Cricetulus griseus: one gene and its partners. The protein of the gene in region 1 interacts with the protein of each later gene in a pairwise test. Links are inferred from orthologs where the notes say so. Each region holds a gene or a part of one and is shown in the gene's direction. Other genes may lie near its edges.

What was found.
Region 2: the proteins of Rpa1 (region 1) and Mtus2 interact in binary tests that used the Homo sapiens proteins (3 or more experiments, as listed by UniProt). The two-hybrid records come from large-scale screens. The link is inferred for Cricetulus griseus from reciprocal best matches to the Homo sapiens genes RPA1 and MTUS2.
Region 3: the proteins of Rpa1 (region 1) and replication protein A 30 kDa subunit-like interact in binary tests that used the Homo sapiens proteins (3 or more experiments, as listed by UniProt). The link is inferred for Cricetulus griseus from reciprocal best matches to the Homo sapiens genes RPA1 and RPA4.

What each region holds. Positions count from the first base shown.
Region 1 is NC_048600.1:88,753,352-88,757,005, reverse strand, and holds part of Rpa1 (replication protein A 70 kDa DNA-binding subunit), read left to right. Parts: intron 1-947; coding exon 948-1,055; intron 1,056-3,654. UniProt on the Homo sapiens protein: As part of the heterotrimeric replication protein A complex (RPA/RP-A), binds and stabilizes single-stranded DNA intermediates that form during DNA replication or upon DNA stress.
Region 2 is NC_048597.1:83,941,348-83,945,001, forward strand, and holds part of Mtus2 (microtubule-associated tumor suppressor candidate 2), read left to right. Parts: intron 1-1,806; coding exon 1,807-2,047; intron 2,048-3,654. UniProt on the Homo sapiens protein: Binds microtubules. Together with MAPRE1 may target the microtubule depolymerase KIF2C to the plus-end of microtubules. May regulate the dynamics of microtubules at their growing distal tip.
Region 3 is NC_048604.1:49,770,979-49,775,208, reverse strand, and holds the start of replication protein A 30 kDa subunit-like, read left to right. Parts: upstream 1-1,327; intron 1,328-3,100; 5' UTR 3,101-3,154; coding exon 3,155-4,156; 3' UTR 4,157-4,230.

The sequences.
Region 1 (3,654 bases):
AGAGATTGTAAGTTGGGCCTGTTTAGACTGCACAGTAAGATTTTGTTTTTTAAAAAACAAAATAGCTGAACATGGTGGCATATGTCTCTGTACTCTCCGCACTTGGTGGTGGGGTGTGGAGGCAGGAAGAGTTCAAGGCCCGCTTTGACTACATAGCAAGTTTGAGGGCAGATTGGGTTGCATTATATGCTGTCTCAAAAAACTAAAGGATGCCAGGTGTGGAGAGAGAGAGAGAAAGAATAAATAGTAAGTCAAATAACATGAAAAGAGCCCACTATACTGCTGGAAGCTCACTCGAAACTTCCAGTGCAAAGCCTTTTGCATTTAGAGAGGGGAGCACAGTGTTAACTGCATGCTTCCACATCTGTTAGGGTTTAGTTGAGACGACTCCTAGATCTGAAATCACATCTCTAGAAGATTGAACTAGACCACATTTGAAACTTCCCATTGCATCTGTCACAGCTTTTAAAAGACTGGCAAAGTGGCCGGGCGGTGGTGGCACAAGCCTTTAGTCCCAGCACTCGGGAGGCAGAGGCAGGTGGATCTCTGTGAGTTCCAGATCAGCCTGGTCTACAAGAACTAGTTCCAGGACAGCCTCCAAAGCCACAGAGAAACCCTGTGGGGGGGGGGGGGATGGGGGGATGGGGTGGGCAAAGCATCACCTGCACTTAACAGTGGGCCCTAGCTGAACCCCGAATCCCTTCAGTGTGCTCAGAACATTTGCACAGCTAAGCCTGCTTTATGATAAAAGTACTGAGCAACTTGTGTGACTTATTGGATACTGTACTAAAAATGAAAAATGATGACTGAAACGGTATACTTCATATGAGGGGAACTGTTCCGTCAAAGCATTGAAAGTCGGGGGTTGTGTTACTTTAAGTAGGAAAAGGTAATCTCCCTTCTCCTTGGTGTTATTTGCTAAAATAATAGCGTGTTGTGTTTTTTAGGTAAATGTTGCAGATTTTCAAGAGAATCAGTGGGTGACATGTTTCCAGGAGTCTGCGGAGGCTATCCTTGGGCAGAACACTGCATACCTTGGGGAACTGAAAGAGAAGGTTGGCACTTGTTTATTAGCACTGTGATAGTGCTTGTGTTATGCCACTGAGCTGTTGTTGCTTGCTTCTTTGGGTGTTGTATATGAGTCCTCGTTGTACTGCGTGTCTAGCAAAGGGTAATGCTACAGGAGAATAAAGCAGCTGTATGCAGAAGCCACACCACCCTTGTCCCCACTACCCTTTTTACACATCAGAGCTGGTGTGCCTGCAGTCTAGAGCTGCAAGGTGTCTTCTGAAATAACTTGTCGGTGTGCTTTGTTAACCAATAAACACTTTTTAGAATCGTTGAGTCAGATCTTAGAATAGTGCACATCTGGGGTACTTGCAATTTCAGGCTGTCAGATGGGGTTCTTACAAAGTGACTTTGTATTAAAGTCACTTTACATGCTATGGTGATGCTCCCTGCCTGTTGTCCTAGTACTTGGGCTGAGGCAGGAGGATCACCCAGAGTTCCAGGCCAAGCTAGTTTACATAGTGAGTTCAGGGCTAGCCTGGACTGTATAGCAAGACCGTGTGTGTGTGTGTGTGTGTGTGTGTGTGTGTGTGTGTGTGTGTGTGTGTGTGTGTGTGTGTGTGTGTGTGTGTGTGTGTGTGTGTGTGTGTGTGTGTGTGTGTGTGTGTGTGTGTGTGTGTGTGTGTGTGTGTGTGTGTGTGTGTGTGTGTGTGTGTGTGCGCGCGTGTGTGTGCGCGTGCGTGCATGTATGTGTTGGGACTCTTGAGATGACTGGAACCCACATTTTTAAAATTACTAATTTCACCTTTACTAATTTGCCTTTTTATACATTAAGAGAATGGGTTGCCGTGCGTTGGTGGCACATGCCTTTAATCCCAGCACTCAGGTGGATCTCTGTGAGTTCGAGACCAACCTGGTCTACAAGAGCTAGTTCCAGGACAGCCTCCAAAGCCACAGAGAAACTGTCTCGAAAAACCAAAAAAAAAAAAGAGAGAGAGAGAGAGAATGGATTACTGATTATGCCAAATATAAGAAAAAGACACTTGGTGAGTTAAAACCAAGAATAGTAAGAGCCGTACTTTCTAGGCCATGGAAACTGACATCTATCGACATACAGTGTCCTTTTTTCCCCCCATTCCTCCATATTGGTTATATACTTACAAAGGCCACAAAGAAGAATTGCCATTTGTTTTGATGTGCTTTTCTTACTCTTTCTGTCCTCAGTTCTGTTTGGTTCTGCCCTCAACTCCTTTTTAAATTATCCATGAGGTCCCTGAAAATAGTCCCACAACGTCCTTTTACAGAAATAACTGGAATTGACTTTTAAAGTGCAATCGTCTTTTATCTCTTTTGCCTGGTCCTCTATTTTCATATCAGATTTGCAGGCTCCGGGCAGCCTTTCAGGATTTTTATGAGCTTATTATAGTTGACTGTTCTTAGCTGGTGAATGAGGGCATACAGGACTCCCCTCAGGAACCATGGTGCTCTGGGAGTGTGCATCCATGCTTCCCTTAGCTCTAAAGAGTAATGGCATCCAGTTTCAAGGTTTGAAGATTTAGCACATTATTTTGTTTATATATTGAAAATCCAAGGAATGACTTTTCTCAAATAAAAGAAGTCTGGGTGATAAGTCTGTTTTCATACCCGTGTGACCTACAGGGGTACTTAGCCTATATGAATTATTAGTTTTATGTAAAGTTTTAAGTTCATGCATTTTATGCCTCAGCAGTCTGAGGCAGGAGGAAGCCAAGTTAAAGACCAACTGGGCACCTTAATGAACATTGTCTCAAAAGTTAAAAATAGAAGAGGGGGGGCTGGAGAGATGGCTCAGAGGTTAAGAGCACTGACTACTCTTCCAGAGGTCCTGAGTTCAATTCCCAGCAACCACATGGTGGCTCACAACCATCTGTAATGAGATATGGTGCCCTCTTCTGGCATGCAAGCATAGATGGAGGCAGAATGTTGTATACATAATAAATAAATAAATCTTAAAAAAAAGAGAGAGAGGGCTGAGTATCCCAGTTTATCACCCACCACACCCCCAAACTAAAAGCCAGCTTTTTTAAAACTTACAATAAAGTAACTAAATCAGATAGCATCTGAGGAGTGTGAGAAAAGGAAGGCATCTTCCGGCCTTTTCCTGGCACTGCCCACTCCATCCACTCATCTACCTGCTCAGCATGTCAGGAGCTACAGATACAGAGGCTCCAGGATTAAGCTCACTCTGTAGCCCAGGCCAGCCTATGTAGCTGGTGCTGGCTTCATGCTCACTGTAATCCTCTTGCCTTAGCCTCCAGAAGACTGGGATTACAGATATGGCCACTTTGCCTAGCTTACACCAGACTTTTCCAATTATTTTAGGTTTTTTTGTTTGTTTGTTTTTTTAACTAATTTTTTTTTTTTAATTTGAGACTATGTAGCCCTGGAACTCACAGAGATCTTCCTGCCTCTGCCTCTCTAGTGCTGGCCTTAAAAGCTGCACCAGGCCCAGCCCTACTAAGTTTTATTTTATTTGTTTTGGTTTTCGGGGCAGGGTTTCTCTGTAATGGTCCTGGCTCCCATGGAACTCTCTTTGTAGACCAGGCTGGCCTCAAACTCACAGAGATCCGCCTGCCTCTGCCTCCTGAGTGCTGGGATTAAAGGCAT
Region 2 (3,654 bases), on another chromosome or scaffold:
CAGAATAAATTATGGTTTAGAGTAGAATTAATTGAGGTGACTACTCAGACATTGCCCCAGCACTGTTTTTTTTAAAATTATTATAACAACTAGACTGACTGTGCCATTCCTTTTTGCTTGTTTAATATAAAGAAACAATAAACTGGAAAGAAGACTGGGGAAGAGTCCCATCCCCAGCACCCAAATCCAAAATTATGTGAGAATGGACATTCTGGGAGCAGGCTGTGGATATATCATTATGTATTATCTATATTATATATGTACATATATGCACACAAATATGATTACTATAGATTGCATTCTGAATTGTTAAGTACAGGAAAAATTAGTAGCAATGCTATGCTATTAAACTGAGGAATTGGTGGAGGGAAGCATGATTCCTTTGCTTAACAACTGTTTATGTGTAGACCCTGTTGATACATGCTCTGAACTGAGCAGTCCCCAGAACTCTTGCCTGGATCTGTTATCCCAGAGGAATGTACCCAAATGTTCCTGAGAACATTTAGCATCTGTGTGTGTGTGTGTATGTGTGTGTGTGTGTGTGTGTGTGCGCGCGCGCACGCATGTGAGTGTATATGTGAGTGAGTGTGAGTGTGTGTGTGAGTGTGTGTGCATGTGTTTGTGTGTGCATGTGACTGTGTGTGTGCATGTGAGTGTACATGTGAGTGTCCATGTGTGCATGTGAGTGTACATGTGAGTGAGTGTTCATGTGTGCATGTGAGTGTACATGTGAGTGAGTGTTCATGTGTGCATGTGAGTATTCATTTGTGCATGTGAGTGTGTGTGCATGTGAGTGTGTGTTCATGTGAGTGTTTGTGTGTGCATGTGAGTGTGTGTGCATGTGAGTGCACATGTGTGTGAGTGTTCCTGTGTGTGTGTGTGTATACGGCACACGAGTGGAAGTCAGAAGACAGCTTGCAGAAGTCTGTTCTCTCCTTCCATTGTATGAATCCTCAGTGTTGAACTCAGGTCATCAGGCTTAGCAGCAAGCACCTTCACTCACTGAGTCATCTACTTTGCCCCAAGTCTGGTTTTAATTATGTAAATATGCAGTACAGGCCTACAATTTTTTCTATTAATTTCTCTATTTTTCTGCAGATGAACATTTTCCCCCTACTAACAACTATTTTTAAGTGTTCTATTGATTAAACATGACATAATAGTTTATTTACTTATAAGATTAGTGGGTATAAAAATGATGTATTTTCTCCATAGGTATAATGAAGCTTTTAGTCATTTTTGAACATTTGTTAAATTCCTTTTTTGTTTAATCAACATTACTTAATTTTTGAGATTTATTTTTATTTTATGTATATGGGTGTTTTGCCTGCCTGCATCTATGGGCACCACATGTGTGCAGTGCCTGATGTGGCCAGAGAGGGAGACAAATCCCTTGTAATGAAGTCACAGATGGTTGTGAGACACCATGTGGGTGCTGGGAACTCAACCTCAGTTCTCTGCAAGAGCAGCAATTCCTCTTAACTGCTGAGCCTTTCTCCAGCCCTGATATTGTTTGTTTAATAAGTAGTCATTGAAATTTCAGTGCATTTATAACAGTGAAATGGAAAAGAAATCTTAAAACTGAGTTCTTTTTATCTCCCTACGACACGTAGATTGATAGAGTATTACAATTGGCAGGGACTCAAGTGCTCACTCAGTTGTGCTGTCATCATGGAGATGAGGACCCTGGGCTGAGAGACAGCACCACATCTCTGACCAAGAGGCTAATAGCGTGAAGGTGCTTGTCAGCTGAGCGTAGATCTCCTGTCCCTGTTTAGACTGATTTACTCTGATCTCTCATCATAGGTCACGGACCACCCTGGGAAAGAAGAATTTTGCTCACCTCCTTACACTCATTATGAGGTCCCCCCCACTTTCTATCGCTCTGCCATGCTCCTTAAGCCCCAGTTGGGACTGGGTGCAATGTCACGTCTCCCATCCACCAAGAGCAGGATTCTGATTGCAAGTCAGAGGTCTTCAGCAAGTGCCATCCATCCACCCGGACCGATAACAACAGCTGCCAGTTTCTACGGTTCTGATCCTTCAGGTAATTAAGTCTAACAACTGCTCTCTTTTCCTGGTACACATATAAATATCAACTATAAAATATTGTGAGTATCTACTTATGAACGACTCTGATTGGTAAAAGAAGCCTTTCCCCAACCCCCCATCTGTCTGGAGACACAGATGTTTTTGAGAACTCACCTGATGCAGCTGTCATCTTCCATGCCACCTTCACAGCCGTGGCCGCTGTTATCACCTCCTGGCTTCTTCCAATTTCTCCCTTCTTTAAAACTCCTGTAGACTCAGAAGACTTGCTCTGAAGGTTAGTTTTATTTTTGGGGGGAAGAGAGTATCGATGAGGGCTTGTCTAGATAGGTTAGCCTGTGTGTATGTCTGTGGGAGATTATCTTCATTATGTGAGTGGATCTGGGAAGTCCCAGCCCACTGTGGGCAGCTCCATTACCTGGGCTCAGGGTCCTGGACTGTATAGGATGACTGCCAACTGGGTTCTGCTTATTTTATATTCTTGAAATAATATTAGTATTTACATTTTTGTGAACAACAAACTGCATATTATCCTTAGGACAACTGATTTGAAATGAATTATTGTGTAAAAGTATACTTAAATGTTAAAAAAGCATTTATTATCTTTTTTATTTTGTGTGTATAACTATTTGCCTGAATGTATGTGTACCACCTGCATGAAGTATCCACTGAGGCCAGCAGAGGGCCTCAGATTCTCCTGGAACGGGCGTTAACAGAACATTGTGAGTTGTCAATGTGGATGCTGGGAATCGAACCCTTGTCTTTTGGAAAACCAACAAGTTCTTTTAACCTCTGCCCCATCTTCCCTCCCCTGTTTGGACTTTGTTTTCTTAAGTCCAACTAATTTTCTAGGAAATTTATAGCAGTTATTTTTCTTGGATGTTCCATATACTTGATTATTTTGGGGTTTTACCATTTTATTTTTGAGCCAAGTCTCATATGTAGCCCTGACTGGCCTAGAACTCACTCTACACACCAAACTGGACTCACCTTACTCCTGTGTCAGCCTCCTGAGTGGTGGGATTACAGATGTGAGTCACCATGCGCAGTGACCATTGCCATTATTGTTGGACAGAAATGTTTTCATCTCTTTGCTGTTTATTACTTTGTGAATTGTCATGACTCAGAGAGTTACTTCTTCTTCTTCTTCTTTTTTTTTTTTTAATAAGCTTCTGCCTTGGTAGTTTCCATGATAGCTGTATATCTTAGTGGGAATACCTGTACTTAGAGCAGGTACTAGTCCACTGTAATTCAGTCAGTAGGCAATTGTTTCTGGTAAGCATTTCAGTGCTGATCCTGGTGTGGTGACAATGCAATTAACACACAAAAACATCCTGCCTTCAGGGAGCTTAAATTTTAAAATATGGGGCTGACTTGTTAAAAAAAAAAAAGAAGTCAGTAAGTTACACTGTCAGTTGCGATAAATAAGCAGTGCTGAAGAAAACGAAACGTTGGTGAAGGAGGAAGAAGGGGGTTTGTGCAGGAAGGGATTCTTGTTTGAACAGAGTGATCAGGAAGGCCTTCCCAAGAAAGTGTCCTGTAAGTCAATCTCAAGGGAAGATGAGGGAGGGATCCTGGTCGGTGTCTGTACTGTTACCTTCCAGG
Region 3 (4,230 bases), on another chromosome or scaffold:
GATCCGGATGTTAATAATAAGCCGTTCTTGTATTACAGCTCTATTAAGTACAGTGAGATTTAGTTTAATCTATCACACTGTTTTGTTTCAGGGTTATTTCTTTAATACTATGTTGTGCCATATTGATTATGCTGAAGATACACACTTTGACATTTTTCAAATAGAAATTTCAGACTTATATTCCTGTTGCTTCAATTTTTTATTCAACATTGGGGAAAGTGGCATAGAACGGATAAATGAATCATTGGAAGTTCAAAATATTTATAATTTAGTTCTGAAACCTCACTAATTATGCCGTTACCTATTCCCCAGAATCTACCTGTTTTAATGTGTAGTCTTGGCTGTCTTAGAACTTACTATGTAAACCAGGCTGGCCTTGAACTCAGAGATCCACATGCCTCTGCTTCCCAAGGGCTGGTATGGGAGGTGCATCACAATACTCCGCTGACTTCTTTATTCCTATAATGAGAATGTTAAAAGATTTGATTTTGGGAGGCAGAGGTAGGCAGATCTCTGTGAGTTCAAGGCCAGCCTAGTCTCCTGAGCAAGTGCCAGTATAGGCTCCAAAGCTATACAGAGAAACCCTGTCTCAAAAAACCAAAAAAATATTATTTTCTGTGGTACATATAACTGAATATAAATGTTAACTGTCAACTACAAAATTAATAAGATGATCTAACAATGTTTATATTTTGAATTGAGGGAAACAGTTAGCATAAATCCTAATACTTGGAATATAAGTTTAAATAACCCTGTCAATAATACTTTTTGCTACTCACATCAGGTTTCTTTTCAGTCTGTGAACACCAGCTAGTATAATTCTCTTTTAAAGGGCTGAGGAGAATGTATCCTACACAATAGTCTTCCCACTCAGGTCTTTGAAGAATTGTTGGTCTGGGAATTTAACATGGAGGTAGAGTATTGAAACAAAAGAGTGAGGTGGCATAGCACTCACACAAAGTAAAATATTGATATAATCTTTATTCTTGTAATTAAAATTCCTTTAATTTTTTAAATTGGTATTCAAAGCATTAGATTTTAATGTTGCTTAGGAGAAAAGATTATTGAAACATACTTTGTTTGAAAAATGTCATAATGTTATTAATATAGTCTATGTTTTACTTGCAAGATTTAAAAAAAAAACCCTTGACACCTCTTTAAAATGACATGTTCTATTTGTTTGATAGGGTGGCCTGAAAAACAGCAAGCATGAATGCACCCTGTCTTCACAAGAATATGTTCATGAATTGAAATCAGGTATCTCAGATGAGAAACTTCTCAACTGTCTGGAATCTCTGAGGGTTTCCTTAACCAGCAATCCTGTCAGGTAGGCAGTTCTTATCATTTTTATAGGATTCATACATTTTGTATTGTATATAGATATTTCGTATAATCAGATATGTTACTTTAACCTCATGATTTTTCTGTTCAGAAGTGTATTATCATCTAATAGAAGAGCATTGTCTGATTATCAAGTTCTAAATGTTTAAAAACATCTGTTTAGCTATTTTGATCTTTACTCATGTATGATTTTAAAATATAGGTAATTGTTTAATAGTTATTTCCTTTTTGAGAAGGAGTTAAATCTAGAAGCTAAATATTTACATTTGCATATTAGTCTATTTGTTTACCAAGAAAATTGTTATATATTTGCGAAACACATTAATTACATTGGTTTAAAATTTTATTCCTTTTACACTTGTGATTATACGTATGTATATAATTTCATATTATATTTAAATTTTACATAGACCACGTTACACACAAACATACACACACATTTTTGTAACTTTGAGATAGCTCAAACTACTTTTAAACAAATAAAGAAATGGAGACTATTAATTAATTCCTTACTATTTTATACATTCATTAAACTATCTTACAGATGTTTATAAAGAGGCAAGTTTTTGATAGCAATGGGTTTGAATAATAATTCTTTATTGACAATAACAGGCTTTAAAATTAGTAATATCCCAAATAATGTCTTATGAAAAAAATAGATTTCAATGTAATATTGAATCATTCTGTGATCTACATGCTAAATTATCACCGTTTTGAGTTCAGAATTTACTAAAATGAGTATATAAAGACAATGTAATTTTATTAGTGTTTCCCTTATATTTTTCAGACTGATATCTAGTTCATAAAGCACTGAAAATAATTTAAATCTCAGTCATTTAGGTGGAATCAGGTATAAATTCGATATATTTGTTATTTAGAGTCATATTTTTGATAAAATTTGAAAGTTATAATTTCATAATAAAGACAGTGTTAAGATGTGACTTGCTTTAGGTTAGAAGCATTTTTTAGTTGTTGCTATCTTGCTATTTCTAAAATGGCATGCTTTTAAGATTTAGTGATCTCACGAAAAGATTTGAGATCTCTATTATTTTTTTATTTTGTACCATCTCAAATTTGTAGGCCAGGCCAGCCTGGAACTAACAACATCTTTCAGGCTGTGTTTGAATGTTAAGTAACCCTTCTGCTGTGGCCTCCGCAGTGCTAAGCCACCACAGCCAGGTATGGATATGACCCTAACTGTCCTCTGGGATTTTGGGCACATATCTGTACAGATGCACACACACACACACACACACACACACACACACACACACACACACACCTGCACAGATGCACACACACACACACACACACACACACACACACACACACACACACACACACAGGAATAAAAATAAAACAGAACCCCCCTCCCAATTGTGGCATTCAATAATGGAGTGCGTAGTACATATTTTCCCTACTTCAAATGCAACTTTATAAAGATAGCAGACAGTGCTTGATATTACATACTTGGGGGGGTTAAGAACATATATATATATATGTATATATATATATACATATATATATATACATATACATATATATATATATACATATATATATATATATATATATATATATATATATACATATATATATATTTTAATTTGAGGCAAGGTCCCCCTGTGTAGTTTAGCTCAGGCTGTTCTCGAACTGTGTGAACCAGGTGGGCATCAAGCTCTTGGAGATCCTCCATCCTCAAATCTCGCGAGTGTATGTATTACAGTGGCTGGACAGTTGGCACGCTTTCTATTTTTAGAATTCTGCATAGCAACCAAAAACATGCGGAGGAGGGCTTTGTAATCTCGCGAGAATGTTGGGTCCTCATCTGGTAGCTGATTGGCTGTTCAGTAAGGTCTTGAGGCGTTGGCATTCTGCATTAGCTCTAGTCCGAGGTTGGAGGTGCCATCTTGCTGAGATTCGAGAGACCGTCGACAAGCGAGTTTCTGTGCAGCCTGTGAGCGAACACCTCTTGCTGTCGAGCCATCAAATCCTGCCAAGACTTCAAAAGATGATGAGTAAGAGTGGGTTTGGGAGTAATGATAGCTTTGTTGATGATGATGGGGCTAACAGGGCAAGCGGCAGTGATGAGCAAGCTGGAGGTCAGGACCTGGGTCTTCCCATGACCACCTTGACCAGGCCTGGCATTCACAGCATTGTGCCTTGCTGCATAAGCCAGTTGCTTACTGCTGTTGAGGTTGACAACGTGTTTAAGATCAGGGGCTTTGCACTTCACCGGGTCTCTATCGTGGGGATGATCATGGAGGCCAAGAAAGCTTCGCGGTACATGATGTACAAGATTGATGACATGACCGCAAAGGCCATCGAGGCCAGGCAGCCCCTGTCGCGCGAGAGGGTCAGGCAATGTGTGATTCCCCTGCCAGTTGGCGTGTATGCCAAAGTGCTTGGTGTCCTCCAGTCCTCGGAGGGAACCAGACGGCTTGGGGTTCTAAGCATCCGTGTCCTGGAAGATATGAATGAGCTGTCCACACACACCTTGGAGGTCGTCAATGCCCACATGATGCTGGATCAAAGTCGTGAAGGTGTGTCCACAGGAAGGCACCTCTTGGAAGAAGCCCGAGCCCGAGCAGCCGCCGCCAGGGTTGCTAAGGCAGCTAGTCTTAATTTCATCCATTTGGAGGTGCTGCGTCTGATTCAAGAATGTCCTCACCAGGAAGGGAAGGCTATTAGTGAGCTGCGAAGAGACCTCCATGCACTTACCGATGAAGCTGTCACTCAAGCTATCGAGCATCTGATTTCCACACAACGCATCTCTGCCACCTCGGATAGTGAGTACCTTAAAATTTCAGGCTGAGGCAAATAACTGATTTTGCGGTTTCTGAAGATGTTTTTGTTCTACTGTTCAGACTTTTAGGAAATACCATTTGT